Linked DNA regions of Diceros bicornis minor. The protein of the gene in region 4 purifies or fractionates together with the protein of the main gene of each other region. This does not show direct contact. Links are inferred from orthologs where the notes say so. Each region holds a gene or a part of one and is shown on either strand. Other genes may lie near its edges.

What was found.
Region 1: the proteins of EIF4G1 (region 4) and MKNK1 purify together in Homo sapiens (affinity purification with western blotting; 3 studies listed by BioGRID and IntAct, with this or other methods). This does not show direct contact. The link is inferred for Diceros bicornis minor from reciprocal best matches to the Homo sapiens genes EIF4G1 and MKNK1.
Region 2: the proteins of EIF4G1 (region 4) and USP10 purify together in Homo sapiens (affinity purification with mass spectrometry; 4 studies listed by BioGRID, with this or other methods). This does not show direct contact. The link is inferred for Diceros bicornis minor from reciprocal best matches to the Homo sapiens genes EIF4G1 and USP10.
Region 3: the proteins of EIF4G1 (region 4) and EIF3A purify together in Homo sapiens (affinity purification with western blotting; 4 studies listed by BioGRID, with this or other methods). This does not show direct contact. The link is inferred for Diceros bicornis minor from reciprocal best matches to the Homo sapiens genes EIF4G1 and EIF3A.

The regions. Positions count from the first base shown.
Region 1 is NC_080752.1:9,453,088-9,460,591, reverse strand, and holds the start of MKNK1 (MAP kinase-interacting serine/threonine-protein kinase 1), read left to right. Parts: upstream 1-4,402; 5' UTR 4,403-4,500; intron 4,501-4,901; exon of another isoform or gene 4,902-5,120; intron 5,121-7,504. UniProt on the Homo sapiens protein: May play a role in the response to environmental stress and cytokines. Appears to regulate translation by phosphorylating EIF4E, thus increasing the affinity of this protein for the 7-methylguanosine-containing mRNA cap.
Region 2 is NC_080771.1:33,698,136-33,705,786, forward strand, and holds the start of USP10 (ubiquitin carboxyl-terminal hydrolase 10), read left to right. Parts: upstream 1-4,588; 5' UTR 4,589-4,599; coding exon 4,600-4,644; intron 4,645-4,924; coding exon 4,925-4,993; intron 4,994-7,651. UniProt on the Homo sapiens protein: Hydrolase that can remove conjugated ubiquitin from target proteins such as p53/TP53, RPS2/us5, RPS3/us3, RPS10/eS10, BECN1, SNX3 and CFTR.
Region 3 is NC_080745.1:81,934,905-81,942,991, reverse strand, and holds the start of EIF3A (eukaryotic translation initiation factor 3 subunit A), read left to right. Parts: upstream 1-4,985; 5' UTR 4,986-5,106; coding exon 5,107-5,155; intron 5,156-8,087. UniProt on the Homo sapiens protein: RNA-binding component of the eukaryotic translation initiation factor 3 (eIF-3) complex, which is required for several steps in the initiation of protein synthesis.
Region 4 is NC_080754.1:39,380,964-39,388,784, reverse strand, and holds the start of EIF4G1 (eukaryotic translation initiation factor 4 gamma 1), read left to right. Parts: upstream 1-4,675; 5' UTR 4,676-4,784; intron 4,785-5,583; 5' UTR 5,584-5,640; intron 5,641-5,863; 5' UTR 5,864-5,897; coding exon 5,898-5,957; intron 5,958-6,191; exon of another isoform or gene 6,192-6,251; coding exon 6,252-6,338; intron 6,339-7,440; coding exon 7,441-7,617; intron 7,618-7,821. Other genes in the region: PSMD2 (26S proteasome non-ATPase regulatory subunit 2), read left to right, coding at 320-502.

The DNA.
Region 1 (7,504 bases), on a different chromosome or scaffold from region 4:
AAGTGAGCAGGGATTGGGACCATCAGACCGTGACCACTGTAGGAGTGATGACAGGTCAGTGTCCCCACTCAGTGTGTCTGACCATGTGTGTAAGTACACAAAATGTGGCTGTAGATGTAGCTCTATGTTTGAACCTTCCAGGCTGCTGTCTTCCGTAAGCATGAGTTCTGGGGAGCTGCAGGGAGGTAGGAAGGGGAGCCTTGCCCTGGGTACCTAAACCCCTGGCCCACCACAGTCACAGGTTCTGATTTGCTCAGCCGGAAATGCTCATCAGCTATCCTTTCACTCATCCCTCTGCCTGTAGGAAGGCTTGATTATAGACAGCCTCCTGGGGATTGGGAGTGATCTGTCATGTTTACAAAGGTCTCCTGGTCCTTAAATTGGGAATCATGCTCCAGTCTAGCTCCTAGAATCTATAGACTTGGCTCCCAGGATCTGAAGCCCAGCACAAGATAATCCTCCAACCCAAGGAGCTAGTGGAACTTGAACTGGGAAATCTGGAGACTTGTCTCCCATCGTGGGACATCGAGGACCATGTAGCTAGTGAGTGGACTCTTCCAGGCTTGGAGAGTTCTCATTCTGCAAGATCCTGCCTCCTTCCCAACCATTCTTGAGATATTCCAGCTGGGTGGATCTCAGAGCATAGCTGTCCACAGAGAAACTGGGGTGTTCATTCAGCACTCCATTACTCAGCAGGCCCCTGCCCAGCCCTGTGCCCAGACCCACAGGTGGGGAAACTGAGGCAGAGACAGGGCTCTCCCCTCCCAGAGCCTCCACACTGGGAGGCCAGATAGAGAGCCAGAAAGGACCTGAGGATCATCCAGTCTCACTCACAGAATCATCCACGTACACAGGAGGAAACTGAAGCCAGAAGGAAAGGAGGGAGAAGCTGTACAAGGCCTCACAGCAAAGTTTTTGTGGAGCTGGAGTAGAAACCAGGGGTCCTGACTCCCACCCAGGGCCTGTGGATTGCTACATAGGAAGATGAGATGCACGTGGAAAGAGGGTTTGACAGGCTGTCTCCAGGACACAGCTGTTCCTGCTTTGAGCAAGGATGTCTAGTCTGATGCCAGAGTGCCCTACTACCCCTCGGGTCTGCTGAGGTTGTCAGCTGAGCCAAACCTCCAAAATCATGCCTGTCTCCGTGGCCCAGCAGCTGCCTGATCTCTGGGGAAGCAGATGGGGCTCCTGGGGCCAGCCAGCTGCACCTGGGACTGCTGCCTCTGGAGAAGTTTCCCTGGAAACACACTGGCCCAGCAGCTTTGCCAGAGACTCTCGAGTGAGGGCGTGGGTCAGAGATTCCCCCAGGGAGGACTGCACTGGGAGATGAATTCTAGGCTGTGGCCATTGCTGATTGCAGACGGGGGTAGGGGCGAAATCTATTTTTGTGAAATAGAGGGAAGACTTTATTATTGTTATTTTTGGTAAAATAAAGGAGGCAAACTAAAGCGGCACTGGTGGGAAGCTGTGGTCTGAGTGCCACATGGCTCCTGGGCAGGCTGTGGAAGGAACTGGGCCAAATGGGGCAGGGAGGGCTTTTTGTCCTGAGATCCTCGGCCATGTGGAGGGCTGGCTAGTGTGGTCTGGTCTGGCCTAGCTCTCCTGGGTGGAGACACCAAGGTTTTCCCAGGCCTCTGGGAATTCTGGACCCAGAACTCCTGGGCTAGGCTAGGACCCTCAGAGTAGGGAGGGCTGGCCCTTGCCTTCAGGGAACTCAGTCTCTTGGGAGAGTCTCCTTGTTTCAGCTCAGGTCACCTGGCACTGGCTATTCCTCCCCAACCCCCTTAATCTGGGTGGTTTATTGGAGCTAATGGGTTAAGCGACAGCAGAAATAGTCTTAATCCTAATCACAGCAGAGGAAGCCCTTCTCAAGAAAAGGCTATTTGTTGGGTGCTGGCCAGAGCTCAAAGTGGGGGTGGCAGGACACGGGGCTGACTCCTGAGCTTATTCCCGGGAGACACTTGCTGTCATTCCACTGCTGGTTACCATCAAGTGCCCAGACAAGAGTTGAAAAACAGCTTGGTTCTTTTTTTTTTTCCCCCCTTTTCCTCCCCAAAGCCCCAATAGATAGTTGTATGTCATAGTTGCACATCCTTCTAGTTGCTGTATGTGGGACACCGCCTCAGCATGGCCGGACAAGCAGTGCGTCGGTGCGTGCCCGGGATCCGAACCTGGGCAGCCAGTAGCGGAGCACGCACCCTCAACAGCTAAGCCACGGGGCTGGCCCAGCTTGGTTCTTAAGACTCAGCAAAGGCCCACCTAGAGCTCTCTCCTCTACCTGGGGAGACAGCCTGGCTTCGTGCCCTCCTGGGAGGCAGAGGCCAGGGTTTCAGTCCCCGCCCAGCCCCTGAGGTACTAGGGCCGGCCCTTTCCCCTCTAGACCTCAATTTCCTCATCTATTTCTTGACCAGGTGTGGGAGTGAGGAACTGATTGATCTGTAAACTTCATTACTCACAGTCTGTGGATCATTCACAATGATAACAATAATTGCTCATACTCACTATGTGTCAGGTACAGTGCTAAATGCTTGACATATAATAGCTTGTTGAATCAAGTTTGTCTTGGGCTAGTTGCCTGGCTCCCAGTATCCCTCCCTTCACTGCTCTAGGATCTCTAAGGCCCTCCACTCTGCTGCCCCTTCTTCTGGCTCACCAGAGGAGGCCGGGTCCAGCATTCTAAAAGGTGGCTCTGCTTGCACACCTCCTATGACAGGTCACTTATTACCTCTTCAATTACTGGACAGCTCAGACTCTTAGAGAGTTCCAGCTCTGGGCCCATAGTTGTTTTGAAATACACCATGGCAGTGAGGATAGATTTATCTCAGAACCGTGTGGCCAAGCCCTGCACCTTACAAGGGAATTTCTGAGTACATTAGGAAGCCATCACAAAACTGCTTGGAAAAATTCAGAGAGGGATGCTTGGAGAAGACCAGAGAGATGTAGAGAGAAAGGAGGAGACAGCAGGGAGAGCTGGGGTTCTCAGCAACACAGAGAAAAGAGCCCCTTGTAGGGCAAAACTTGGCAGGAGAGGGTGCTAGGAGAAGCAGTGTATTGGGAATAGAGGGACAGTGGGGGCAGCCAGGCTGCGGAAGGCTTTGTTTTCTCATTGGCTCAGGATCCATAAAAATATTTGGAGCAGGGAACAAGGAAGCAAACCATTCTCCCACCTTGGGGCAGAGCATCCACCTGTTGAGTCAAGGCTGCCACCCCCCTTGGCCCTCAAGAACACTGCAGCTTCTTTGAGGTTTCCTGCTGCCACTCCCATCCCTACTTCTGTGAGCTATGTGGAGCTCTGCCTGATTTGGGGGATCCCTGCCTGAGCCCTCATCTCTGGCGTTAACTGAACTTGGTTGCCATGTGGGGGACATAAAAATTTTGAGAACCTGGATTGGAACACAGGCCTGAGTGACTCAGGGCCAGCTAGCTATTGAGACATTCAGGGAACAGAGAGGGGAACAGACCAGCATGGCCTCCGAGGACATGAAGCTTGGGTGAGCCTGGAAGATGATGGTGAGAGAGGTCAGGGTATACACGGGCCTTCAGGTCAGACTGAGGGATTCTGGAAGCCTGGAAGAAGGTCTCCCTCTTCAGTCTTCACCCAGACTGAGCAATCTAGCAAAGCCCTGAATGTTCCCGACCTCCTTCCATCAAAAGGATGAGAAAACTGAGCCCAGAGGGGGAAAGGCAACAAACGGTTGTCAGGTGGATGATGGGAAGGAAGTCCAGGAGGCTCTTTAACTAGCATTGCTCACCAGACCCTCACAACAATCCTGAGACAAGCAGGGAAGGGATGCTGACTTCCATTTCACAGCGGAGGAAACACTCGAGTCAGGATCTGAATTAAACCTAAGTCAGCGCTCTCGTTCTCTCATCACACTTGCAGCCTGGGGGAGGGACGGGGCATGGTTGAAATACTACCTTATTTGCAGTTGGTTTTCTCCAAGAAATGAACTTTTAAGTTTTTTATTTTAAACTACTGGGGGTAATGCTTTACTCAAGGAGAAACTCTCATGGTGAAATTATAGGCATGTAATTTTATATTAAGAGTTTTTACAGAATTAGCTCTTTTATTAGAAAAGACTGGCAGCATTTCCCCATAAGTAAAAGGCATTTAAAAATGCCTTCCTGGCATGCAGAAGCTCTCGGTAAATGTTAATTACACCTGCCGCTGCCAGACCTCCTCCCCGGGACGCTTCCCTGGCTTCCACGATTTCACTCGGAAAAGGCAGCGTCGAACGGAGCTAAGGCCCACCCCCTACCCCAGCAATCTCCCCGCCCCTTTCTATCACGCCTGCGCAATTTACTTAGCCCGCCCCACCCTCTCCCTGAGTAGCCGTCAAGGCGCAGGCGCAGCTCCGCCCCCTCACGCCCCTCTCCAGCCGGGCCCGCCCCCTGGGTCTAGTACCGCCTCTTCCGCGTTCTCGGCGGAGCGATCTGCAGGTGGGGGTGCGCGCCAACCGGGACGTGGCGAGTCAGCTGAAGTGAAGGCAGAACGGCAAGGTATCCCTCCGAGCACAATGGGGCGGGGGTCTGAAGGAGTCGGTGTGCCCGGGACGGGGCGGTGTCGGCCTTCAGACCGGCCCGCGGTCACGACCCGATTCTGCTGCGAGAGGACCGCCGAAGGAGACACTTTTTTAGGGCTGTCCTCAGGGCTCCGTCTCTGACGAGCTCAGGGCGCAGCGTGTGTCCCCCGTCCCGGCTCAGCCGGTGCCTGGGGGGTCGGGCGTGGGTTGTGACAGGTGTCCGAGGTCGCAGCTCAGCCTGTGGCCGGTTTGAGACAGTCCCTACCGGGTTGTGTGGCTGGGCTCAGGGCTCAGGAAGTCCAACATCATGAATAGTATTTCATGTGAGGAATTTATTCTGTGTACTACGTTATTTTAAAGTTAACTGTTTTCCTTTAGAAGCTCCTGACATGCGCGGGTGGCCGTAGAGTGGAGAGAAGTCCTAGTGTCAGGTGCAGTCTCTCTCTGTGGGAGTTTCCAGGCCACCTGTCAGATGGCCAGTAGCAGATCCGAGGTCAGGCGGGTGACAGGAGTGAGGTGCTGAAAGTGCTTGGCTTTGGGACAGGCAGGCCTGGGTTCGGATCCCCCCTCTGCCACTTCCTAGCTGTGTGTCCTCGGGTAAGTCATTTCCTCTCTCAGCTTTGGTTTCTCCTGTAAAATGGCATAGTAGGGTCCTTGTGAAGTTTGAATAGGATTTACATGTGTCACCTGGTATGGCACCTGTCACAAAATGGGTGCTGAATACATGGCAGCTGTGATTCCTAGGAACTAGGTGATTTTGGACTGGGGTACTGTAGAGAGGCCCTGGGGGAACAGTTGAGGTGAGGTAGCTCTTGAAGCCTCAGTGGGATTTATAGGTGGAACTGACCTTGCAGGATGGGAAGGGAGCTAATGCATATTGACCATTGTCCGTGTGCCAAGCACTGTGCTGGGCAGTCGGTGTACATTGTCTCACTGGATCCTTGGCCAGCAGCCAGGTGCTTTCAGCCCCACTACCCTTCACTTCAGCCCTCTCAAGAGGGCTAGGCTGGAAGTGATGTAAAGAGGAGACCCAGGGTTGGGTTTTTTATATGGGGTGGGCCAGCTGGAGACTTTGATCCCCATCCCACCCCCCAGCTTCTCTACCTTCGGGCTTCTCTTTCTGTGATCCAGAGAGTTAATTGGGTTCTTGACTTTGTCTGGGAGGCCTGTTCCCTAGCAGATTTTGATGGTTAGAGGGCCTGGCAAGTGAGCACCTCTTAAACTCCGGTTGCATGAAGCTGAGCCCTGGGAGAGAGAAGCTCTGTCAACAGGAGCAGTTGGATTCCAGCACATGCTTAGGAAGCACTTGTGGTCCCCTGTAATGTGTTCCCATAGTAATCTAGTAACTTGGTTCCTTTTGCATCCTCTTTATGGTACCTATGTGATCTTCCTGAGACAATGTTCTCATCATGTTATATCTCTGCTCAGAAACCTTGGCGGGCTTTGTCGTCTGCTATATAGAGTTTGGACTCCTCAGTCTCATAGACAAGTTCCTCCATAATCTGTTCCCAAACCTGTCGTCTGCCGTGTTTCCATTTGTTCTTTCAAACCTGCACCCTGCACCCCAGTCAAAATAAACTAGTTTTCGTTCCTCACACTCCTTGCATGTGTTCCTTTGCTTGTGTTCGCTCTTCCTAGAGTTCCCTCCTCCTTCTCATCTTTCAAGGCCCGTGACCTCATCAGTGAAGCTTCTCTGATCCCCCTGCTGGATTAGTTGCCACCCTCCCATCTTCTCTAGCAGAGGCTGCTCTTCGAATATAGCTCTGATCACAATTTGCCTTGGGGTATGTCACCCCGTATATACTCTGAGTACATTGGTGGCAAGGGACCAGGTCTGTTTCATCCCTCCTCTACCTGGCACATAGTAGGGCACTGCAGTGTTTGTGGCTGAATGAGTCAGTGACATTTTTTATTTATTTGCTTTGGTCTTTGTTTTATGAGCTTTCAGGTTCAGAGTGGGCCTTTGTGTTTTTCCTTCTCTGTGTGCCTAAGGAGAGCCCTAGTTTAGATTAATGATGCCCTAATTACAGGCATCAAATGCAAGACAGTACAGGAGTTCTGCACAAGGCAGGATTCTTCATTGTTGCTATTGTTTTCAAGCTCTTGTCTTGCCTTTGCTGTGAGTTTAGTTGGAAGGGAAGTGGTGCTCTGTTCAGGGACCTGCACTTAGTGTGATATAGTTCACGCAGGGGAAAGCACACAGATGGTTTACTGATCAGTTGTCCTGCTGTTGGCCTTGGCCCTGGCCCCTACTATCTGGGGAACCAGCAGCTACAAGTTCACATTTTTCCCTGCCAACAGCTTCAGCATATGAAACAGAAGGCTCTTTGTTGATCACAGAAAAATATATATTGTTGAATGTAGAAGGAGCTTGGGAACCGTCTGGTTCTACTTCCTTAATTTTTCACATGGGGAAAGGCCCAGAGAGGGGAAAGGACTTCATTAAGATTGCACAAGGAACCAGTCATTGGTGGAGATGGTACTAGAAGTGAAAAGTCCTGACTCTTTGATTTTTTCCAGTGTACTACGTTGTTAATATAATTATTTATTGAGCGCTTACTATATGGCGTATACTGTTTTAAATGCTTTATGTGTAACATCTCAAAACTCTATTTTATAAATTTGGAAACTGGGTAGATAGGAATCATTCCGATCTACTTTCTGATTCCACAACTCTGGTTTTTAATGTTTGTGTGTGTGTGTGTGTGTGTGTGTGTGAGGAAGACTGGCTCTGAGCTAACATCCATTGCCAATCCTCCTCTTTTTGCTGAGGAAGATTAGCCCTGAACTAACATCTGTCCCATCTTCCTCTGTTTTGTATGTGGGATGCCGCCACAGCATGGCTTGATGAGTGGTGCGTAGGTCTGTGCCTGGGATCCAAACCTGTGAACCCCAGGCTGCCGAAGCGGAGCACATGAACTTAACCACTACACCACGGGGCTGGGCCTAATGTGGTTTGGGTTTTTTTTTTTTGTTTTTTT
Region 2 (7,651 bases), on a different chromosome or scaffold from region 4:
TTGGTAACATTCTTCATTTTGCCCAACACCTAAAATAATTTGTGATTGAAAATTAGGAAGGCTTTTGGAGAAGGAGGTGGTGAACGCTGAACATTTTAATGGCAATTGGCTGTCCTGAATTTCTGTGATAAACTCTTTAGTGTCACAACACTTGTGTTGATTCAGCCTTTAGTCAGATGTAATTTTAGTTAAATAATTGTCACTAAAATGCAGGGCAATGTAATTTATGTCCACTCACTGGGATTTACTACTGAGTAAATATTTGGCCTTTTCTTTGCTTTTGTAGTTTTATCAGGATATCAAAAAATTACCTGTTTTCTCCCAATAAATTTATTTAAGCTAAATTTTATTTTATAAGCCATCCTTGTATTTGCCTTTATGAAACAGTGTGGATAATAAATGCTTCTTCATAGTATACTTCCTGTAATCATTTTGAATGAGGCACATGGTTTTGTTAAGCACTGAATGATGTCATTGCCTCAAGTTTATATGGGACATTTTATGAAATCATTCTGAATGAATGTTTGGACGGTTACCAAAGAGGCCTAGAAAGAAATGTTTTTCCTTTTTTTACACGCACTCTGGTGGTAGGAAATTCCCTTTTATTCATGAGCCTCCCCTAGCCTGAGACCTCAGGGACTTGGCCTTTTCTGACCTTTGAGAATGAGCTCCCCGGATATCAAGCCTCCCTTTGTCTGCAGTTACTGCATTACATTTGATTCCTGTTTGAGAATAAGTAATATGTGTGCGGACACATAGGAAGAAGCTACATGTAGCTTATCTGCCGTGAGTGTATGGGGAATACTCATTCTACAGGAAATGGAAATCCTAACCAGACCTCCTGGTGGTGAACCCCTTGCAGAGACGCTCGTAATCCTTGGTACCAGCTTCTTAGCGATCCCCTCTTTTAACTCTGTGACAAAGTTGAAATAGCTGTTTTTTATATTGGGTGAAGTGTAACTGCTCACTTTCAAAAATTTATGCATTTGAGGATTGAAAATAGATCTGATTATGGCAAGAGGATGTGACTCGTGTATTTTGTCAGGGTTGTCTATTAATATATGTGAGCCAGTGTTAAGGAAATTACTTGGAGTTCAAAACAGCTCTGGCTAGCCACTGTCAAGTGTTAAATGATATTTTGGCATTGCATAGTTGATAGCAGTTGCTTATGGTGTCTTTCTTGGATTAAATGTTTTCATCAAGATCTAATCTGTTGTCAGTGAGATCTTGAAACTAACACAGGTGCAAACTTATAACATCTCTGCAAAATGGGTATATTTGAATAGTTGTACAATGATTTCTGTTGTTTACATTGACTTTTTACAGTTAATTTTTGGAATAGATAAGGTATTAATATGGTTCAGAACTAAAAACTCTGAGAAGATACAAACTAACAAATCTCCCTCCCGCTCCACTCCCCCCACTTGGGGTCCCCATGGCTCTGAGTAGGTAGACGGCTGCATCCTCTCCTGGGTTCCTTTTCCAATATCTCTTTATGCAAACACAAGTAGATATTTCTATTTTCCTCCCTTTTTTACAGCAAGAATGTTTTCTTCATTTAACAGTACCTTGGACGTTTCTCCGGATCTGTACGTCAAGCTCTTCCTCATTTTCCCCCAGTGAGTGACTCTTGTAAGCAGATTGAAGGTGCATATCTGTGGAGAAATTATTGACATGAAGTTGTAAGAAAAGCACATTTACAATCTATAGCAACGTTTTTAAATAATACTTTGGAAATAAATAAAAATAGTAAAATTGAAAATAATAGAAGAAGTCTTTTCTGGAACCTTTCTAAGCATTCCAGTGGTTGGCTGTGGGTTGGCTCCCAGCCCAGCCGACTAGCGCAGGGACTGGACTAGCGCTGGGCCCCGGGGCCTGCATGCAGGCGGGAAGGCTTGTGTGCGAGTAGCTTGGAGTCACGTTTCCTCCTCCCTCTCCCTCTTATTGACCAGATTTTATTAAATCATTTGGAATTTTAGTTCTCTTACTGGGTTAACCAGATCTCTCTCTTTAAAAGAGTTTAGACTGTATGTGTACTCAAGTAAGAGAATGTGCTTAGAAGTGTGTGTTAAATGAGCATTTCATTTTTATTTTTCCAAGAAGAAAAGCTACCTAAAGAAAATAGCTTAACAATCCTGTAGAACATTCCAGTTTTCATCCTTATGTCTTCCCCACGTTCTGAATTAAAGTAGAGTCCTTCCTTACCATTCGTAAGAGAAGATAAAATGGATCTTTTACTGCAACGTTTCTGCTGTTGGTATTAAATAAAACAGCGTGATTCCAGTGTAGTGACTCTTCATGTTTTCTTTAGACCTCACAGCTACAGTGTCAGCAGTGTCCTGGGTCTCCTTCTCTGTTTACCACTCTTGTGTCTCTTGAGTTCCTTTTCTGGAATTCTTAAGCAGGCACCTCCCCACCCCACTCCAACAAAAGAGTGTAGGGGTGTCAGAATGTTGTTTTTCTTTTGCACTTGAGTAATAATCTTCACAATAGAATAGAATTCTATGAAAACAAAATACTTTAGAATTCTAGGAACAAAATACTTTTTTCTTGGAACTTTCAAAATACTGCTCCATTGTTTTCTAGTCTTGTTGATTCTGCTGTTAAGACCTTCTGTTGAGTTTGTAAATTTAGTAATTTAAATTTAATAATCTTCTGATTTCTGTGGACACTTCCTTGTTCTCTAGTAGGTCCTTTTTCTTGGCATTCTGTTTATTTTACCTGCTAGAATTGCTTTAAGGATACAAATCAGAATTTTTTTTAAGTTCTTTTCTGTTTCTGTGTTCTGTTTACTCAATCATTTTCCCGTAATTTTAATTCCCCCTAATTTACCCCTCACATGTCTTGTGATTGTTTGTTGTCCATTCATATATGAGGGCTGAAATCATATTTTAGTGGGTGTGTTTCCTCGGCAGTTAAGGTGGTTGCTGTTTCTCCAGCAGGATTCTCTTGTGAAAATTTTCATCACCCGCAAAAGTTCTTTTGTGCCTCTTTAATCAGACCTTCTCCAGACCTTGACAACCACTGATCTGTTTTCTGTGCCTATAATTTTGTCCTTGAATGTTATATAAATGCAATTAAACAACATTTGTAGCCTTTTGAGTCTGACTTCTTTCACTTAGCATGATGCTCTTTTAGAGTCATTGAGTAGTATTTCGTTGTGTAGACTACCACATCCACCACTTGATGGACATTTGGGTTGTTTCCAGCTTTTGGCGGTTATGAATAGAGCTGCTGTAAACATCAGCATACGGGGTTTTTTTGTGGACATAGGTCTTCAGTTCTCTTGGATAAGTACCTAGGAGTGGCATTGCTGGGTTGTATGGTAAGTAACTTTATAAGAACCTGCCAGACTCTTTTCCAGAGTGCCTGTAGCATTCTGCATCTGTATCAGCCACGTAGGGAGTTCCAGTTGCTTCACGTCCTTGCTGGCACTTGTGTTGTCAGACATATATTCTCCTAGTCTGTGGCTTGTCTTTTTAATTTTCTCCTAAGTTTTAAGGTTTACATCTAGACTTAAAGATCTTTATCTGCCGTGGAACTGTAAAGAATACTAGTCAGCAGTGTCATTTCTTCACACACACCTCACCCTGACCTCTCTTCTGCTTCCTTTTCACTTAAAAGATACCTTTCCCTTCCAGTGCTTGGTGTTGTGCCTAAGTGACTTTAATATAAGCTTTACCCCCAGGTTGGAGATGATAAGACAGTTTAAGCTCACTGAGCTCACAGTGAAAGTGTTTCAGAAGACCATTTCTAGATTGTTTTGGGACTCTCCTTATTTTCACCATTACTATCAGTGCACAGTTTCTTTGTGGACTTTTGGAAGTATATGTAAATATTTTATGAAGATATTTTGGTTTTAAATCTGTATTTACAGTCTTGGTAGCTATTGCCAAAGAGCCTTCCAGAAATATTTTCCCCAGAAATATCAGTGCCTTCTTACCGATAGGGTACGAGAGTTAGTTGCCATTTATTCACATTTATGGTAATAGTGGGTATTATCCATTTGTATAATAATAAGCTATTGGTTATATGTGAATCACATGCTTGTAGATTTCCCTCCAAGTTACTGGACTATCGGCTCCATTAGAGTGGAGGAATCACAACTCTGCTGTACCATTTTTATCCCCGGTGCCAATGATCGTGCGTGGCACTTAGTAGGCTCTAAATGTTATGGAGTAAGTGAATGAGTAACTAGCGAGTGATTTTCTGTTGTAGAAATCTAGGCATACTGATTCCTTGTCTAGGACTTATTTCTTGAAGAACTGTTAGGCAGTTGCCAAACTTGCTTCCATGTAGTTTAGCCAGTTGTTTTTCCATCAAGTCACATTTAGAATTCTCTGAAATGAGGATTCACAACTGTGCTTGTGTCTATTGAATAATGTTTATCTGTGCGTCATGTTCCAGTACACTTTTAAGATAAAAATCACATATATTTTTAAAGATCATTCATCAGGATCATTAACATTTTGCTCTTTTGGATTTCCCTATCTCCCCATTTGAACCACATTTTCTGCTTTTCTTTAGTATGTATGGCAGAGAAAACTGAAAAGGAGGTAATGACATGAGTCAGCAGAAAGGTAAATGGAACAACTGGAAATGTTTGTGAACCAAAAAAATTCTCCTGCAAGCAGGACTCTGCTTGTAAGTTTGGTGTACAAAATCGACCTATTTCAAAATAAGCTTTATCAACTTGAGTTTTCTTTGACAATTTATGGAGAAGGCTAAGTAGTATTTTCATGTTTGTAATTGGAAAATACTACACCTAGAAATCTCAGTTTGCAGACCCTTGTTTTGTTTAACCGAGAAAGGGTCTTGGGGATTCTGGCCCAAATATTTCATAGGATTATTATAATATATAGCATTTTTTCCAAAAGTATATAATTTGTGCATTTTATGTGATCAGTGATTCTCTTTTTTTCAGTATATTTTTGGAGATTTTAGCCCTGATGAATTCAATCAGTTCTTTGTGACTCCTCGCTGTTCAGTTGAGGTAAGACAAAACTTTGTTTTGTTGAGTATATGTGTAGATAAAATTAATGGTTGTTTTACTTTTTATTAATTTATGCTTTTTGATAAAGAATTCAAGTGTACAGAAAAGTGCAGAGACTAATATGAGAAATGCCTGAACCCACCAACCAGATTTGACTAATATTAACATTTTGCTATATTTATAAATGGCAAAACATTACAGATACAGTTGAAGCCTCCATTGTACCCCTCTCCTGTCTCATTCCCTTCTTCCCCAGAAATAACAACTCGGCTAAAATTGGTAAGTTTTTTTTCCTGGCTATGGTTTTTGCCTTTTATTACATATACCTGTGTTGTGTAGCAACAGATAGTACGTTGTATTGTTTTATGTGGTTTAAAATGTCACATAAATGGTTTCATATTATATTCATCATTTTGTAGTTTTTTATTTTAAGCTAACGTATTCTTTAGATTTATTTATGCAGATACATTTTGTTCTTGTTCTTTGATTTTAATTGCTAAATACCATTGGTGGAACATACCATGATTTATTTACCTTTTTTTCTGTTGAAGACCATTTAGGTCTTTAGTTCTTCCACTATTACAAAAATGTTGCGATAAACATATTTTGTCATGTCTCCTCATGCTCCTCTGTGTTTCTCCAGAATATATTCCTAGGGATGGAATTGCTGGGTTCTGCAATTTCTGTCTCTAGTTTTACTAGAGACAGCTGATGTTCTTTTTAAGTGGTTTTAACAGTCTCCGTTCCCATCAACAGTGCACAAGAGTTTTCTTGATCTTATTTTTTTTTTTTTAATTCTTGGTAATTCTCAGTATAGGCATATATAAAATTTTTGTTAACCTGATGGGTAATAAATGGATTCTCATTGTTTTAATTTACATTCCCAGATTACAAAGAGTTGAGCACTATTTCATTATTTTCATATGTCCATTGGCAGTATAGACTTCTGCTTCTATGAATTATCCCGTCTGTATCCCTTGTCCGTATTTTTTATCAAATGGCATATCTTTTTTCTTATTGATTTATAGGAGTAATAATCTTCGGTTTTGCATATTATGGGTATCTCTTCCTGGCATGAGGGCTTTTAAACTTCATATGTGATGCTTTTTTTCTTTTTTTTGGTGGGTAAGGGCAGTGCATTTTTATCTTTATAATGTCAAATACATTGATTTTTTTTTTCCTCATGGTTTGTGGATTTTTGGTTTTTAATAAAATATCTTTAAGAAATTCTTCTCTTCCCTGAGGTAATAAAGACATTTGTTTTCTTCTAAAAGTTTTAAGGTTTTTGTTTTCACTTTAGTATGTAATATAACTGAAATTGAGGTACTGATTTGTGTGTGTCAGGTAGGGATCTAACTTCCTCTCCCCCATGGCAGTGTGAGTGGCACTGAGAACTCAGCCCTTATTTGTAGTGCCCCCGCGTCAGGTCGCACATCTCCATATATGCTCAGTTGGTTGTGGGTCCCCTGTTGTGTGGGCCTTTTGCTTTATCTCTGTATCAATACCCCATGTTTTAATTGCTTCAGCTTTATAATCAGTCTGATGGTAGGACACACACCCTCTTCTTATACTTACAAGTATTTTGGCTCTCCTTCATCCTTAACTCTTTCTTAGGAATTTATGATCAGTATGTCAAGTTTCATGAAAAATCCTATTGAAATTTCAGTTGAAATTGCATTAAAATTATAGATAATTTGTAGGAGAATTAACATCTTTATGATAGGTTTTCTAAACATGATTGTGGTGTATTTCTCCATTCATTGAGGTCTTCTTGTATGTCCACTCCTTATGTGATTAATGGTTTCTGTTTTAGTTTAGTAAAAACTTATTTGGAACATTTTTCAGCTTTATGTTTTAAATATGAAAACTGTTTAAATTGCTTTGAAAAGGAAAAAAGGGGGGAGAAGTAAGTACATCAAGTTAAATCTTAGTTAACTTTTAGATCCCTTAATTTTAAGATTTTATTTATTTATTTTTCCCCCAAAGCCCCAGTAGATAGTTGTATGTCATAGCTGCACATCCTTCTAGTTGCTGTATGTGGGACACGGCCTCAGCATGGCCGGAGAAGCGGTGCATCGGTGAGCGCCCGGGATCCGAACCCGGGCCGCCAGCATCGGAGCACGCGCACTTAACCGCTAAGCCACGGGGCCGGCCCTAGATCCCTTAATTTTAGAACCCCTGATAGAGATACACAGTTGTCTGTTGGCACATGTATTAAATATTTATGTAGGGAGTTCTGTTATTTGATAAAATGGGGTAGGAGAAGCTGACTTCTTAGCATAGGAGTCAAAGGCCAGGGTTGGGGTCTGAGTGGGCCACTTACATGTGACCTTGGCAAGTCCTTCCCTCTTCACCTTGACTGCTTCAATTCTAAATTTTTTTTTAGGGTTGTGGAGGTAGGGTTAAATGAGAACATACTGAAAGCAGTATTTACACTATACAGATGTAGGAAAGATTTGTTACTTGTTTTCTTCTCCTTCACTTTAGGAAAAAGAAGGAAATCAAAGAAAATAAAGCTTATATTACATTTCATTTTAGAAAATGGGTAAATTCAGTTCAGCGTCATCTCTATCTCTTGTGCTCATTGATGTTAACAGTTATGATTTTAAGGAATCTGAGGATATGAGCTAGGAAATAGTGAAAGCTAAATTATTTATT
Region 3 (8,087 bases), on a different chromosome or scaffold from region 4:
AGAACCGAGCGATGAATGTGGTTGGAGGAGGGAAGAGGTCTAGGGGCTGAGCCCTAAGACTTTTCAACCTTAGAAGTCAGAGAGATCAGGAGACATCAGCAAAGGAGACTGAGGAGTAGGCAGAGAAGTAGGAAGAAGATCAGGAAAGGGTGATCCTGGAATCCAGGGGAGGAAAGTGCTTTAGGGAGGTGGAGTGATCAACCCTGACTGTGGAAGATGGAATGCAATGCACTAGAATATAGGGGCTGGCTTTAGACGAGAGCACGGACTGAAGAGTATCAGGAGGGAGGCAGGATGTGTGAGGACAGATGCTGGTGGGTGGGTAGAAGGCAGAATGCCAAAGTTCTCTTCTAATTGCTCCACTGTTTGCAGTGCTACAGAAAATGAGGACATCGGCCAAGAGGAGAGGATTGGACACAGGGAAAGTATGAAATAGTCCTCTGGGAGAACGGACACATGGCCTAGAGAAGGTCATAGGATAGCTGAACAGTATCATGGTGCTTGTTGAGGCTTATGGCCGTGAATTTAAGGTGAGGCTTGCCAATACGGCTGTGCATTTTTCTCCAGTCATAGTAGGCTGCAGGCAAGGAACATGTGGAGGGTTGGATTGGCCAGGGTTGGGGCTTTGCCAGGGGTTTGGGTAGAATAAAGGAGAGCCAAGCATGAAAAGAACTAAATGATGGCATCCAAGTTGGGTACGGAGCAGATAGAGGACATGCGGAATGAGGGGTAGTGGAAAGGAAGTAGGACTGATGAATGGACTACAGGTCCCAGTCAGGCAGCAGGGCCGTTGGAGTTGGGATACAACAGAGTTAACCATCGGAGATCGTGGCCAGAAAGTGAGATGCTTGAAATCAAGACGTGAAACTGAGATAGCTGGTATGACAAGGTCTAGGGTGGGAATCGGCAAACTATGGCCTGTGGGCCAAATTCAACCTGCTGCCTGTGTTTATACAGCCTTGAGCTAAGAATGGTCCTTACATTTTCAAATGTAATATGCAAAAAAGAGAAAGACTGTTATTCTTTAAGCAAGAACAGTTGCTTCAAGAATTGAAGACACTGTTTTCAGGCCTGCAAAGCCTAAAATATTTACTCTATGGCCCTTTTCAGGGGTTTGCTGACCCCTGGTCTGGCTTGTAGAGTATCACCATGTGTGTGAGTGAGTGGCTGAGGTAAGGTAGAGGACACAAGCTCAAGGCCAGGTGGCCAGGATATTGGCAGGATCATCTACATGGGTATAGAAACCACTGATAATTATGACAGTAGTGTTGGAGAAAGTGACAGGGAACCAGAACCAAGAGTCAACGAATGAGGGGGTGTGACCTGGGATCTGTAGATGCCAGAGAGGACTGTAACACAGAGGAACTGCTGGTGGTCTAGTCTGACGGCATGAGGTTCAAAGGTCAGAGTTTAAGGGAGGAGAGAGAGAAAGAGAATGCTCTGGAAGTAGCTACTAGTGGGAGGAGCTAGTTGGTCTTTGATCTACCTCCAGGCGCTGGTGGTTTGAGGGAGGAATATGCCACCCCTTGCAGGGTGGCTGGGCAGCAGAGTGCTCAGGGATGGCCAGAGCAAAGAGCACAAGCAAAGGAGCAGTTAAGTCAGCCCCAGCTGGTGGGAAAGGCTGTGCAGAGGAAGACTTTGAGCTGAGGCTTGAAGTCTTAGCAGGAGTAAGTCAGGACACAGCGGGTGGGATGGGGAGGAGGAAGGGGAAACATAGGTGTAGGAAAGCATGATATCTTTGAACGGAGACCTCAGAAAATCACAAATGAACTTCAGTACAGCTGGAGGTTCAGAACCAGCGCTATTAGGAGCTTTGGGTGAAGAACATTATTGTTTCTTTAATATCTGCATGCTGGAGCTTAGGTATATTGAGAACAATGTGTAGATGAGGAGATGCTCTATGAATGAAAGAAGACACACATTGGACTTTCAAACTTGTTACTTCCCCACAGGTATAGTAGGAAACTGTTGCATATAAATGTTTATATGGAGATTCATTCTTTTATCTCTCCAGCATTTTTTGAGAGCATCCTTTCTGCCTGATGATCTGCCAGGCATCGGAGATACAGTGGTGAACAACACAAATATGGTCCTTCCCTTATTTGAGCTTATAGTCTACAAGTAATTACATTGAAGCATGATCAGTGCTAAGACAGGATGTTACTGGTGCTCACTGCCTTGGCATCTAAACTAATCTGGGGGCCAAGGAAGAATCCTGGAGGAAGTGACATTTAATCTGAAGGAGAAATAGGTGCTTGTTTTGAAGAGCAAAGAATGGGTGGTGGTGAAGAATGTTCCAAGTGAAGTGATGGCATGCATGGGGTTGGAAGTGGGAGAGAGGGCTGATTAACACACTGAAAGACAGTGAGTGTGGCAAAAGATGGGGCTGGAGAGATGATGGGGGCCTGGACTGAAGTGGTGTCTCCGTCTTCACGGAGCTTCTGGTAAATGTTCAAAATCTTTCCTCTCTCTAGACTGCAAAGTCTGAGAAGGCAGGAACCAAGTCTGTCCTGTTCACTGCTGTTTACCCACTTATTGGGTGCTTACTTCCTGTGCCTGAAAATGGTTTGTTGAATGAATGCATGACTGTGAACCTTAGTTTACCTCTCTGAAATTTACATTCATCAATATAAATACCTTCATTACAATTCTTGTAAACAAAACAATGAACGTGAAAGCATTCTGTAAACTGTAAAACATGATACTTGTTTTAAAGCAGTAAGACACTATGTTGCAAATATGTATAATGTAGTACCTCTGTTGTGCCCCTAATAACTGTTTTTTTGAGAATCTTATTTACTCCACTCAAGTCGGGAAAAAACCCCAAAACATTGTATTGGAGAAATTATCCAGTCCTGTGTAGTACAAAAGTAGCTTGATTAGGGAAAAAGCCTTCATCAGCCTGATCATTTCCTTTCACCACTTCCTAAAGTGGCTTCTAGCCTATTCAGGTTGCTTGTTTTCCACTAAGTGAGCATTAATCAACAGCAAGTAATTATGCTTTTCTCCAGGCCCAGAATAGATCCTATCTTGTCCCTCACCGTGTACTCATCTATCTTCATCAGTGAATCATCAGCTCCTTGAAAGCAGGCATCTTGCATCTTTTCAGCCCCCGCATCTAACATTATGGCTGTTAGCTGGTACTGAATACTTGTTGGTCGAGTTTAATAGGTGAATTTATCCTGAAAATTGACATTATACCTTTACTCATTCACAAATAAATATATTTAATGCACTTAAATGATCACTAGCTATTATATTACCAAATGCTTCATATACTTTAAATAACTTGAAAGAGAAAAGGATGAAGATGTAGAGATATTAGATTTCATTTTACCTCCCAATTTTCTAGCGTTTGTATTGTTTTAGGTCTACCAAATAATGAGCAATAATCAATGAGGTCATTTTACCTTTTTTTTTGAGATATCATAATGCAAAGGTAAGAATGTTGGAAAGTTTTTTCTGATACTTAGGCCAGGTTTCCTTTTATTTTATTCTGTTACATCTCCCTATGGCCTACTAAATAGTTTTCTATCTAAGCATTTAAAAGCTGTAATTGCTCTTATGTTTAGCTTTTTAATTTTGACTTAATTATTATATACACAGGCTAGTCTCTTGATCCTGCCCCATAAAACAGTTTCTACAGCTTCTTAGTACTTGTTGCTCAACCATGTCTGGCTCTTATTTTGGGGGGAGTAAGCTCAGACATTTAGAGTGGTCTAAGCATTTTGGAGGAAGAACTGTCTGAAATTAATTTTAAAATGACCTTTTTTTAGAATTTGTGATTTATTTTTTGTCTATGTCTGCATTTCCCCAATTTTTTTTCTTTATAGTGATAAATTTAGTTAAATAGAAAAATCTCTTTGCTGAGGTAGAAGGAATGAGGGGGAAATGTTTTTTGTAGGTATGTACTGTGGTTTCTTCGCTCATGAATGTAGTACTGGCATTAATTCGCCTATCCCATCCATTATAACAAAATGTGTAATAAATTTGCAACAATTTATTCCACTGCTCCTTTCTGAATTTTTCTTCTGAACTCATCTTAATTTCATACCAAGGGCTTGAGTAATTAGATTCGGTTTAAATGGCTTTCAAGTTCTAGGTATAATAGTTACTGTTTGAACATTAAAATTGTTAATCAATAACAAAAGACGGTGCCAAAGGGCCTGTTATAAATCGATTTTGTTTTCACTGACATTCATTTTTCTTTTGTTTGCTTGTGATGTGGGCTGAATGTAAAGATGACAACACACCTATGTATTTTCAAACATCATGCAGGTCTGTTCTGCCGCAGGGCTTGTGCCCTCTGCCAGATTGCTCTGTCCCGTGTGTCCCCATCCCTCAGGTCTCAGCTCAAAACTCGCCTTCTCTGAGGGCCCCCATGCCCCAGGCAATCTCTGTGTCATCAGCTTTTTTATTTTACCTAGAAAGGAAATAAGCTTATTTGTTTAGTTATTTAGGACTCTCCTCTCCATGGTAGGCCGTCCTGTGACAGGTCACCACTATTTCCCAGTGGGAAGCAGCTCTGGCTTAGTGATACCTGCTCAATGCCTTTCCGTTAAACGGACAAATTCGGCATTTTGACTCAGCCAAGACAGGCCATTCCCTAGGCGGATGGGATCTGATTGTAACTTTGCATGACTCCGCACAAATCACGTGAAAAATGAATCCGTGCAGACCCCTGCCTTCTCGCCGGACAGAAACTCGGACCCAAATCTCACCCTTTCCACCACGATTCTCGCTCGAGGAGCGAGGGGCTCGAGAAACACCCGCCTAAGGGTCCCCTCCAAGTCCCGAAGAGAAACGACAGCGCGCGGAGGACGCCGGCCGTCGCCACGTCAGCCGGGTCGCGTGACGCCAGCGCGCCTGCGCACGGGGGAGGGGCAGCGCGAGCGCAGACGCCCGCCCCTACATCCGGGGCCTAGACGGCGGCGGCGCCGCGGCGCGGGGGTCACGTGGCTTCTTCCTTTCCGTCTCTGGCCGGCTGGGCGCGGGCGACTGCTGGCGAGGCGCGTGGGAGCTCGCGCTGGTTCCCCTTGGTCTCGTCTCCCGGCTCGGGCCACTGAGGAGTTCGCTGACGCCGGGTGAGCCGAGCCTGCCGCCAAGATGCCGGCCTATTTCCAGAGGCCGGAAAATGCCCTCAAACGCGCCAACGGTGAGTAGGAGATGGGGCGCGTCGGCTGGGACGGCCCGAGGCCTCGCAGGTCGTGGGGTCCGGGCCTGCTTCCCGCTGCTCCGCCGCCCGGCTGCGGCCGGGGAGGAGGCAGTGCGGCCCGCCCGCCCCCGTCCCGGTCCCCGGCCGTGGTTGGGCATGGTCCCCCTTCTGCTGCAGCCGACCGGGGCGAGAGGCGCGGAACCGGGAGCCGTCGTCCTCCGGGCCCTTCTTTCCCCGCGCTCCTGCTGCGTGTCGGGGGCTGCGGCCCCGGGGACAGAGCTGCCGGGACCCGGGCTCCTCTCCCGCTGTCCGCCTCCGCCTGGCTCTCTCCAGGCCACGGGGCTTTCGTGTGCTTGGGCCCCGCGCCCCCGGCCGCCATCTGGGAGTGCCGAGGAGGAGGAAACATGGCTCCCTCCCGGGGACAATGCACGCGAGAACCTCGGCTCCACCTCCCGCCGGGGCCGGAGCCGAGCGGTCCCACCCCCGGCCCTCCCGCAGACTCCTCCGCCCCCCAAAATCCAGCGCCGGGCTTGGCTGGGTCAGGGTCCACCTCCCCTTCCCCCAACCCCTGTATCGCCGCTTCGGGGACTCTGACCCATTTAACCTGTTTCCTGTTTTTCCTGGCATTGATTATTGGCAGCCCAAAAGTCTGTTCCGAATCACAGGAAGTTGGAACAGAGTTAATACTATGAGAGAGAGACTTCAAGTTCTCTCTTAAAGATAACGAAACTGAGGCTTAAAGAGAGAATGGCTTGCCCAAGGTCACTCCGCGAGTTAGTTGTTGAGCCAGGACGCTAAAACCAAGGTCTCTTGGCTTCCAGATCAGTCGTTTTTTCGCCACAGCGATGCTGCCTGCGGTTTTTGTTTCCATATGTGTACTAAGTCATGGGCGCTTTCCAGCAAACTTGTGCGTTTATTACGTTGGTATTATGGGGGTGCAGATGTATTATACATGTCTCTGATCTTTAAAAACTTTCTTGTTTAGGGTTTTTTTTTTTTTTTTTGAGCCTAACATTTTGTAAGTGGTGGGGCGTCCATAGCTCTTATCTCCACTCTTTCTCCACTCAAGGAAGTTAGGGGTCTTTTCCATGCTGTAGATGGAGATGCCGTGTCTGTTACAGTTTTATGTTTGTGGAGCCTGTTTTGTTAGCTTGTTTGAAAATTGCTGTTGTGGAAAGGTCAATTTCAGTCGTTACATAAAATTGATCCTGCTGATAATCTGTCAGGGCCAAAGATGTGTTTGTCACGTGGTGGTTCTTTTAACTAAAAGTAACAATTTTGGGCGGGATAACAGTCTGAAATAGTATGGTTCCACATTCTGTGGAATAGAGTGGTTGTTTTAAAAAACAAAAGTACAACTTAGATCTGATCACTACTCATTCTAACGAGTGGTCTAATGGTTAGAACAGGCAAGAAGTTTAAGGACGTTAATTTATAGGGAAGAGAATAGATTGAAATGGAAATTTATCACTACAAAATAAACTGTAGCAGAGTGAGGAAAAATTTCCTTTTTGATATTTCGAAATTCAGAATTGTGTTATGGTATATTAAATGGCTCAGATGAAATTACTGCTCTAATCGCTAGAGTCATTTGGATGCTTTACCAACGGGCGTTTTTCCCCATGTGAATAGGCTGAAGCACTGTAATCTGGAGGGCCTGAATAGTACACATTTGATGTGTTCAGGCCTTGTTTCATCATTCCTCACTTCTGAATCTTCATGTGAACTTAGTATTTCAATAACTCTAAACTTTTGTGTAGTTTTAAAAAAGGCTGTATTGATTCCCCGTTGCAGCCCTTTTGAGCTGTAGGGTGGGTGTTTCTGTGGAAGAGATGAGATGCCTTACCTTTCAAGAAGTAATTTCTGTGCCTTTGATCTTGTGAATGAGAGATCCCTTCTCAGAGTGTCAAAGTGAGTGGAATGTGGATGGCCCGTGGCACTGCTTACGAAACTTTTAATAGAATGATGAAAGTACATTTCATTCAATGGAAGTAATCTTATTTTATCTAAATGTTTTATCTATAATTTTTGTAACGTCAAACACATTTAGACCTAATCCATTACCTTATCTTAATAAAATGTGAATAATGTAAGTGTAATAGTCCTTCAGGTCACCCTGAGTTTGTATATCAGAGCAGTATTTTTGGAAACAGTGATTATTCAGGAAGATGAGAATTTGGTCCAGTAGTTACAGGCAAGAAATTCATACCCCAGAATCATTTGGAAAAAGCTCTTTTTCCAGATTAGATTGTTAGTAGTGCCAAATTAGTTGTTCCTGACCCTGTAACATCCTTTTAATTAGCACTCTATAACCAATGACTTAAAAAATAGTTATTAAACCCACAAATTGTGTAACATTATAGCTTATCTACTTGGTCTGTTGCAAATAAACTAGTAAAAATAAAGGGCTGATCTAAACTTTTTCTTTATAGATAGATACATAGTTTCGGTCATTGTGTCTGAAAGGTAAGCTCAGAATGCTCACCATTTTAGTAATAGTTTATAATTCCAGATTTTAATTTTTTTCAAGAATATCTATCTGGAAATGAACATTTAAACATTGCAGTAGAGCCTTTTGTGACCTTTCTTTCTAGCCTCAAAAACTGTTTTTTCCCAGTTAGATAATTCAGAGGAACTAAATCCTCCTTGTATGTAGAATAGGGTAAAAACAGAAGCGCACCATGGTAGGTTATCATGATAAATTTGTTCTCATTCCAGTTTTTTCTTTTACAAACATCCTTGCCTGGTATCCATGTTTTCTTTTTTTGTTGGTGATGGTAGGGGTGTCTGCTATGAAAAATTATTTTTTAATGCATTTATTATTTTTAATGCATTTTCAAGCCTTGGCTTGTTTGAACTTACTGCTTCAGAGTTTGAGAGTATGGGATTTTGAATCATAAGTTTTGATTGTTTGATCTGTTTTGGAAGTGAA
Region 4 (7,821 bases):
TGTGCTGTATAACAATGTTTCAGTCAATGATGGACCGTGTATACAATGATGGTCCCATAAGATTAGTAGCATAGATCCTGGGTGTATAGTAGGCTACACCATCTAGGTTTGTACAAGTACACTCTATGATGTTTGCACAACGATGAAATCGCCTAACAATGCATTTCTCAGAACATATCCCCATCATTAAGTGATGCATGACTGTACTTTAAAACTTGGAGAGTGCACATATGCCTGCTTTTCTGAAACTGGTGTGAGCACTGGGTTGCTGCGACACTCCCATTTGGAGTCCCTTCATCTCAATTTTCTTATCCTACAGGCAGTGGATGTGGTGGGCCAGGCCGGCAAGCCTAAGACCATCACAGGGTTCCAGACACACACAACGCCAGTGTTGTTGGCCCACGGGGAACGGGCAGAATTGGCCACTGAGGAGTTTCTTCCTGTCACCCCCATTTTGGAAGGTTTTGTTATCCTTCGGAAGAACCCCAACTATGACCTCTAAGTGGCCACCAGGGCCTTTGAGCTGCAGCTGTTGTCAGTGGGCCGTGCTTCCTGCTGCCAGGGGTGGACACTGCTCCAGACTTGTGAGGGAATTGTTACCTCCTGTTCTTTTGTTACCAAGTGAGATAACTTTGTTGAATAAAGACCTTTATCCCCGAGGTCCCTCTGTGTCTCTTTTCTGGGGTACCATGGGCTGGAGGTCAGACTCGGGTGGGGAGTAGATGTGAGACAGCATTGTTTGTAGCAGTTTTGAGCTGAGGCTAGGAGAGAGACTGCCCTGAATGGAAAGAACTAAGACTCTTTCCCTTCTCTCCTCCTTCCTAATCATCTTTAAAAAGTGGTTCATGTTTAGGGGCATGAACCCTTAAGAAGCTGATAAATGTAATGGATCTTCTTTCTAGGAGATGCATACACACAAATTTTCATACAAATTCGTACAAATAACTTTCCAAGGTGGATCCCATACATCCCCTACTCCCACCCACCAATGCACGCCCACCTCAAGCCCATCATTTCCTGACTTTGGACTAAGGATACCTGCTCTAAGAGGCAGCAGAGTTAGCTCCACTCTTTCTAACTCGACTCCTGGGCCGCTGATTGAAAGGGACGTCTTTACCTCCTGTGACCCTCTTTTCCTCCTTGGGAGGTTGCTATTTGAGAGATTTGATCATATTAACATCTATTTCTGGACTGTCCTTGCAGAAACTGGGTGCAAGAAAGCTTGACCCTGACCTTCCTCTCAGTGTAGCAATGGGAAAGAGAAGTGGGCTCCTTCCTGGAATATAATCACCCTTGATCTGCAGTGCTTCTTCCTGGTGGGGCTGGTATGAGTATAGCAACCCTGCCAGGTGGGGCATGGACCCCGCGGATGCAGTGGAGAACACGTGGCCCTGCCAGATAATCACTAGCATTTACCCAACACTGGGGTTTACCCTCTGAACAGTAACTGGCACTTAATAGGTCTTCTATAAATGTTGGAAGAATAATTGTCCTACACGCTTTTGAGACCTCACAATAACTTTGAGAGGTAGGTATTATCCCTGTGTTTTGGGGAGGAATGTAGTTTGGGTGAGGTTTGGTAACTTAGTCACATAGTAAATGGTGGGGCCAGGATTGGAGTCTAAGTCCATCTGACTCCAAAGCCCACACCCTCATTGACCACATTAATCTGTCTCTGTAGCCTTGGAGACTTGCGGACCCTATTGTAGTCCAAGGTATTGGCTAGGTGGAGAAGTGGAAATTTTGGATTGAGTGTCTCCGTTGTCTCCTCTCTGCACTCACTTGGCAGCCTGTATAAAATCTGTAAAAGGTTGAAGCACTGGACTTGGGAGTCAAGTCCCTTTAATGGGACCTGCTGTAGTCTGAGCAAATCAGCATGTCTGATGAGCCTCTGTTATCATCTGTATTACTTGGATAGAGTAATTGCCTTTCCTGATTTCCAATAGTGGTGATGTTAAAATAAGGTAAATTAGAAAGTGATTTGTAAACTGCAAAACAACATAAATAAAAAGATAATTCTCTCCTAAATCAGTGATTGTGCTTTAGAGTAAGAAATTTTCATAGTGGCTCTCAACCTTTCACATTTGGTCATGCATTCTGCAACAAATATCAATGGAGCCTTATTCTGCATTGGGCATTATTCTAGCTTGTGGGGATGCAAAGATAGAAAAAAAAAATCCTATCAAAGCTTATGTAGGGCTGGCCCTGTGGCTTAGCGGTTAAGTGCGCACGCTCCTCTGCTGGCAGCCCGGGTTCAGATCATGGGCGTGCACCAATGCACCGCTTCTCCGGCCATGCTGAGGCTGCGTCCCACATACAGCAACTAGAAGGATGTGCAGCTATGACATACAACTGTCTACTGGGGCTTTGGGGGGAAAAATAAATAAATAAATTACAAAGCTTATGTAATGGAAAATAATTGTGATATATCATGATAGATACTGTATTGGGCTGTGAACAAGGTACCCTGGGATCACTGAAATAAGGCTTAAGTGCCTGGGTAGGTCAGGGGAGATTTTGAGGAAACAGACTTGGAGGAAGATGAGTTTTTCCAGAAGAAAAGAGAGTAGGATAAAACTAAGGGAGCAGCAAAAGCAGGAGGGCAGAAAAGCTATTCATTTTAAAAAACCAGGGATATGGGCCGGCCCCGTGGCTTAGCGGTTAAGTGCGTGCGCTCCGCTGCTGGCGACCCGGGTTCGGATCCTGGGCGTGCACTGACGCGCCGCTTCTCCGGCCATGCTGAGGCCGAGTCTCACATACAGCAACTAGAAGGATGTGCAGCTATGACGTACAACTATCTACTGGGGCTTTGGGGGGAAAAAAATAAATAAATAAAATTATAAAAAAAAAAAAAAAAACAGGGATAGCTTGGTTTGACAAAGGGTATAGGGCCAGGGAAAAGTGTGGTAGGAGATACAGTTAGAGACAGAGGCTCAGATAGGTTTAGAAGAGCTTTGTTGTGCTAAGAAATTGACAGTATCACTCAATGGGAACCACTGAATGAGAGCATGATCAGCTACCTGGGTGAGAAAGCTCACCATTGAGGTGCGGAGACCAGGCAAAGGAAATGAAGGCCTGAACCAGGGCAGTAGAAATGGGGGGATGGGGAAGCACAGAAGAATAATTTTTTAAAGATAAAATCCACAGGACTTGATTTTGATCCAAACACCAATAGGACCTGGTGTCTGATTAGATGTAGTATGTGGATGAGAAGGAATGTAGGATGGATCCCAGATTTTCTGGTTGGATGCTATTCATTGAAAAAGAATACATGAGCAACACCAGGTTTGGGGTCAAGGTGTAGGACTCTATGTAGAGAGAGATGACAAATTCCTATCTGGGCATACACAATTTGAGATGCCTCTGGGGTGATTAGGTGATTATGTATTTTATGTAGCACCTTTTTCTTACTGGAGTTTGAGAGAGTGGTTTCTGATCTAGGAAGGGATTGGCATGTAGGCAGTAACTGATTTTTATTTATTAGTTTGCTTATGCAGAAAGAGAAATGAGAAGAGTACAGAAGGCAGCCATACACAGTAAAGTCACAGAACTCAAATGAAGAGTGTCACAGAGAACACTCTAGATTTGCATTTTCATTCTCACTATGGTTCCTTCTCGATGTGTCTATTTTGCTTTCCTTTCTTTGGAGCTTTAGTTTCTCATATACAATGGGAATAATAATACAATCTATTTTGTAGGAAATTGTGAGGACTATATATGACATACGTCATATATATTAAGTGACCAGTTCATCGATTGGTGCTGAGAAAACCTTTTCTTCTGAGATTTTATGTGTATATACACAGAGAGAGGAGAAGGGAGAGGGGAGAAGACAGAGGACAGAGGTAGAGAGAGGAGAGGGTATCCAGGCACTGTTTTAAGCACTTTCACATGAATTAACTCCTTTAATCCTCTCAATCCGATACAATGGGTATTATCATTGTGAGAAAAAGCACAGTGGTTAAAAGCTCAGACTTGAGTTCAAATCTTCCCATTTTACAACAGGTATTAGGTAGGTAGGTAGGTATGTGGCCAGGGAGTAAGCAGCAGAGTTTGGATTAAAACTCAGGCTATCTGACTGAGTAAATACGTGGATTTGGCTCTAGTACGGTCCCTTCTGGTGTCCAAAATTTTTTGGCTAACGGGCAGGGGTTTTGGGATTACTTCTTCTACCATTATTCTGAACTTTCTATGCTTGAGTTTGTCCCTCTCTGGGAGCGGCTGATCTTTGTAAAAGACAAATCTAACAATACTAATTCCCTAGTTAGAATGTTTCAATACTTCTAGAGTAACATTCAGTTTAATTGGTCTTTTCATGAGCTAACCTACATTATTTTCAAAGGCTGCATAATTCGTATTTCTTTCCGTACTTATTGCATGATTTACTTAGGCAGGACTGAGTCTTTAATTTCAGTATTCTCAGCTCCCAGCGAGCACTTCACCTAGCGCTTAGTATGCACTCCATAAATGCTTGCTCAAAGTATGAATGAACTAAAGAACCACGGAACACAGACGCAGAAGGGGGTCGGTCTGGGAGTTCCAAAGTTCGGGAGGGGACACGGGGGCGGGCAGTGGCAGTCACATGACGAGGCGGGGCAAATCCCATGTGCTCCGCGGCGCCAGGCGCGGCTCCGCCCTCTGCGCCGGTCACGTGGGGGCGCCGGCTGCGCCTGCGGAGAAGCGGTGGCCGCCGAGCGGGATCTGTGCGGGGAGCCGGAAATGGTTGTGGACTACGTCTGTGCGGCTGCGTGGGGCTCGGCCGCGCGGACTGAAGGAGACTGAAGGTAAAGCCGCCATGTCCGGGCCCGACCCGGCCCCCCCACCCCCTCCCCCCGCATCCGCCGCCATCCAGGCCGGGACCGGCCACCCTGCGCCGCCGCCCTGGCACCCTGGCTCCGCGGCCCAAGCCCGGGCCCCGGCCCTCCAGGGCCCGATCTCCGGCCCACGTGTGCCCGGCCTGGCTGCTGGGTGGGGGCGGGGGAGCGCCGGGCCGGAATATGCGGTCCCCGCGGGCAGGGAGGGCGCCGAGTTCGCCTGTCGCGAGGTGCCACCTCGGCTCGACCCGAGGAGGCCCCGCGGGCGCAGCACCGCGGCTCCCGGCCCGCCGCCCCATCCCCCCTTTGCGGCCCGGCCGCCGGGAAGTGACACGTTGTTCTTTGGCACTGGCCGGCGCTGCGCAGGGAGGGCGCAGGGGAGGGAGGCAGCGGCGGCGGGCAGGGAGGAGCCCCCGGCCCCGCCCGGCCTCCGGGCCGACCCTCACTTGTTTGAAACCGGCTTCTCTTCGGCCGCCGCCCGCCTGGCCTTTTACGGCCCGACTCCCGCCCTTCCTGGCCTCCACGCCTGGGTGGCGGCAGGCCTCGCCTCTGGCCCCGCGCGAGTGCCCCCGCGGCAGGCGTGCCTTGTGTGCCCCTGGGCCAGGCCCCGAACCCGGTGTCCCCGGGTGGGGGGTGGGGACACCACGGCCGAAGCTACTAGCTCCGTTTGTGATCCGGGAGCCTGGTGCCAGCGAGACCTGGAATTTCCGGTCTGGTTGGTCTTGGGCCCCGCGGAGCCAGGTTGATACCCCTCAACTCCCAACCCCAGGCCCTCGGATGCCCAGAACCTGTAGGCCGCACCGTGGACTTACTGTTAACCGAGGGGGTGAGTGAGGTGGCTCTTTCATCAGGTCAGGGAGGTGGTTGGAGGTGATGCGGGTTTGACAACGTGTTGATGGGGACATAAGCTGGATCCTTGCTGCTCCTTCACCCTCTTGGCGCCTCCGGGGGTCGGTATGGGACTCAGCCCTTGCTTCAACCCCTCCCCCAGTCCATTTGCCTTAAGCTTGGGTCCCTTCTCCTTTCCGAGCTCCACTCTTTCCCAACAGGTGCTGGGGGGACCCTGATGTGGCACCAAATGAAATGAACAAAGCTCCACAGCCCACAGGCCCCCCACCCGCCCCATCCCCTGGACTCCCACAGGTAATTAGGGACGAATTAGCAGAGACTGGGGTGGGGGTGGGGGGACCAGGCAGCTGGGTCAGAAACAGGTTCTAGCCTCTGGATTTCCCACCCCCATCTGTGTCAGGGCAAAGTGCAGCTTCCTGCTGCCAAATTGAGACAGAGCCCCTGGGCTGTTCCCAGGGGCTGTCATGGGGAGGGGGTATGTGGACTGCTGAGACTCTTGTCACAGATCTGCTCCCCTTACTTCACCAGCTTGGGTTTCTGCCCCACCCGGGTTTCCCCTCTTGCTGAACTCTGGTCTCCCTCCTTCAGCCAGCGTTTCCCCCGGGGCAGACAGCACCGGTGGTGTTCAGTACGCCACAAGCGACACAAATGAACACGCCTTCTCAGCCCCGCCAGGTGAGGGGCCGTGGGGAGGGGAGTAGGGGGCCTGGGTGGGGCCTTGGAAAGCTTGGGCCAGTTTGGGTCTAGGATGGAAACTCTGGAGGCCCTGTACCTGCCCCAGTTTCCTGACAGTTGCTCTGTGTTCTTTTGTGCAGCTCTGCACTTTGCGCTGTTGATTACTTACAGTATCTGGCCCCTTGGGGAGTATGTAGTTGGTGGGGGTGGCGTTACTAGGGGTCCTGGTGACTTGAGAATTGGGGGCAGTGCTTTGGACCCTGCTGCCAACTCCTGCTTTCCTATTTCCTCCTTTTACTGGGAGGTTGCCATTGCTCTGTTCCCCTTCCCTTCTTTCTCTTGGGGCTATGATGGGATAAACATTCCAGCTGGTTCTTGCCTTTATCTATACCCTAAATTCTTCCTCGCTAAGTGGGAGGATTCTTGTCCTACTTCCTTCATTGTTCCCCCTCATCACCTTGGGGATAATTCTCTTCTTTCCTGTCCCCACGTGCTCTCAGGGAGGATTCAGGTCTCTGCAGGTAATACCCCTTTGCTAATCCTGGACCTTCTCTTGGTCTCACCCTTACCCTCCACCCTAGTCAGGGGCTAGATGCAAGGACTGGGGCTCTTCAGGGTGGGGACTTGTTTGTCATTCAAGTCCTCAGTCTGAGCCTGACTGATGCATGTTAGGGGCTATATCTCGCAGAGCGTGCATCTGGGACCTGGGAGACTTGCATGTTAGTGGTTAGTTCCTCAGTGCCTTAGGTGGAGCAGTGCATGCTGAGGAGTATGTTGCCCGAAAGGACTTTACTTAGGCATGATGCATCTGGGTATCAGGCAGCCTCTGCATAGGGGTCGCCTGGTGGAGGTGACATGAGTATGCATGGCAGTGAGGGAGTAAATATATGCAGAGTGCAAAGTGTATACCTGAGTTTGGAGGGCATGTGTGAGTACAAGAGGCCAGTTAATCATCAGTTGGTCAAGTGGGTCTTGGAAGTATTGGTCTCCATGCTCCAAAGCCCCTAGTACTTCTCTCCAGTCTAGAGACATTGTGGAATGGCCATTTTGCTGTCCACTTCCTCCCCTTCCCAATGCCAACTGCCTTCCTCCCTCCTGACAGCACTTCTACCCTAGCCGGGCCCAGCCCCCGAGCAGTGCAGCCTCCCGAGTGCAGAGTGCAGCCCCCGCCCGCCCTGGCCCAGCTGCCCATGTCTACCCTGCTGGATCCCAAGTAATGATGATCCCTTCCCAGATCTCCTACCCAGCCTCCCAGGGGGCCTACTACATCCCCGGACAGGTGAGGCTGGAGGCTTGGGGGCTGGAAGCCACAGAGCCTTGTACCCCAACCCTCGCCTCCCTCACCCTGACCTTCCAATCCCATCTCTTCTCCAGAGGTGGGACTTGCTTCTGGTCATTGCCCAGAGTTGGCTTGTCTTGTCTTGCCCTACATTCTTTTTGTAGTCTGATATGGTGCTTATAGCTCCCTCAACTCCTTGTCTCC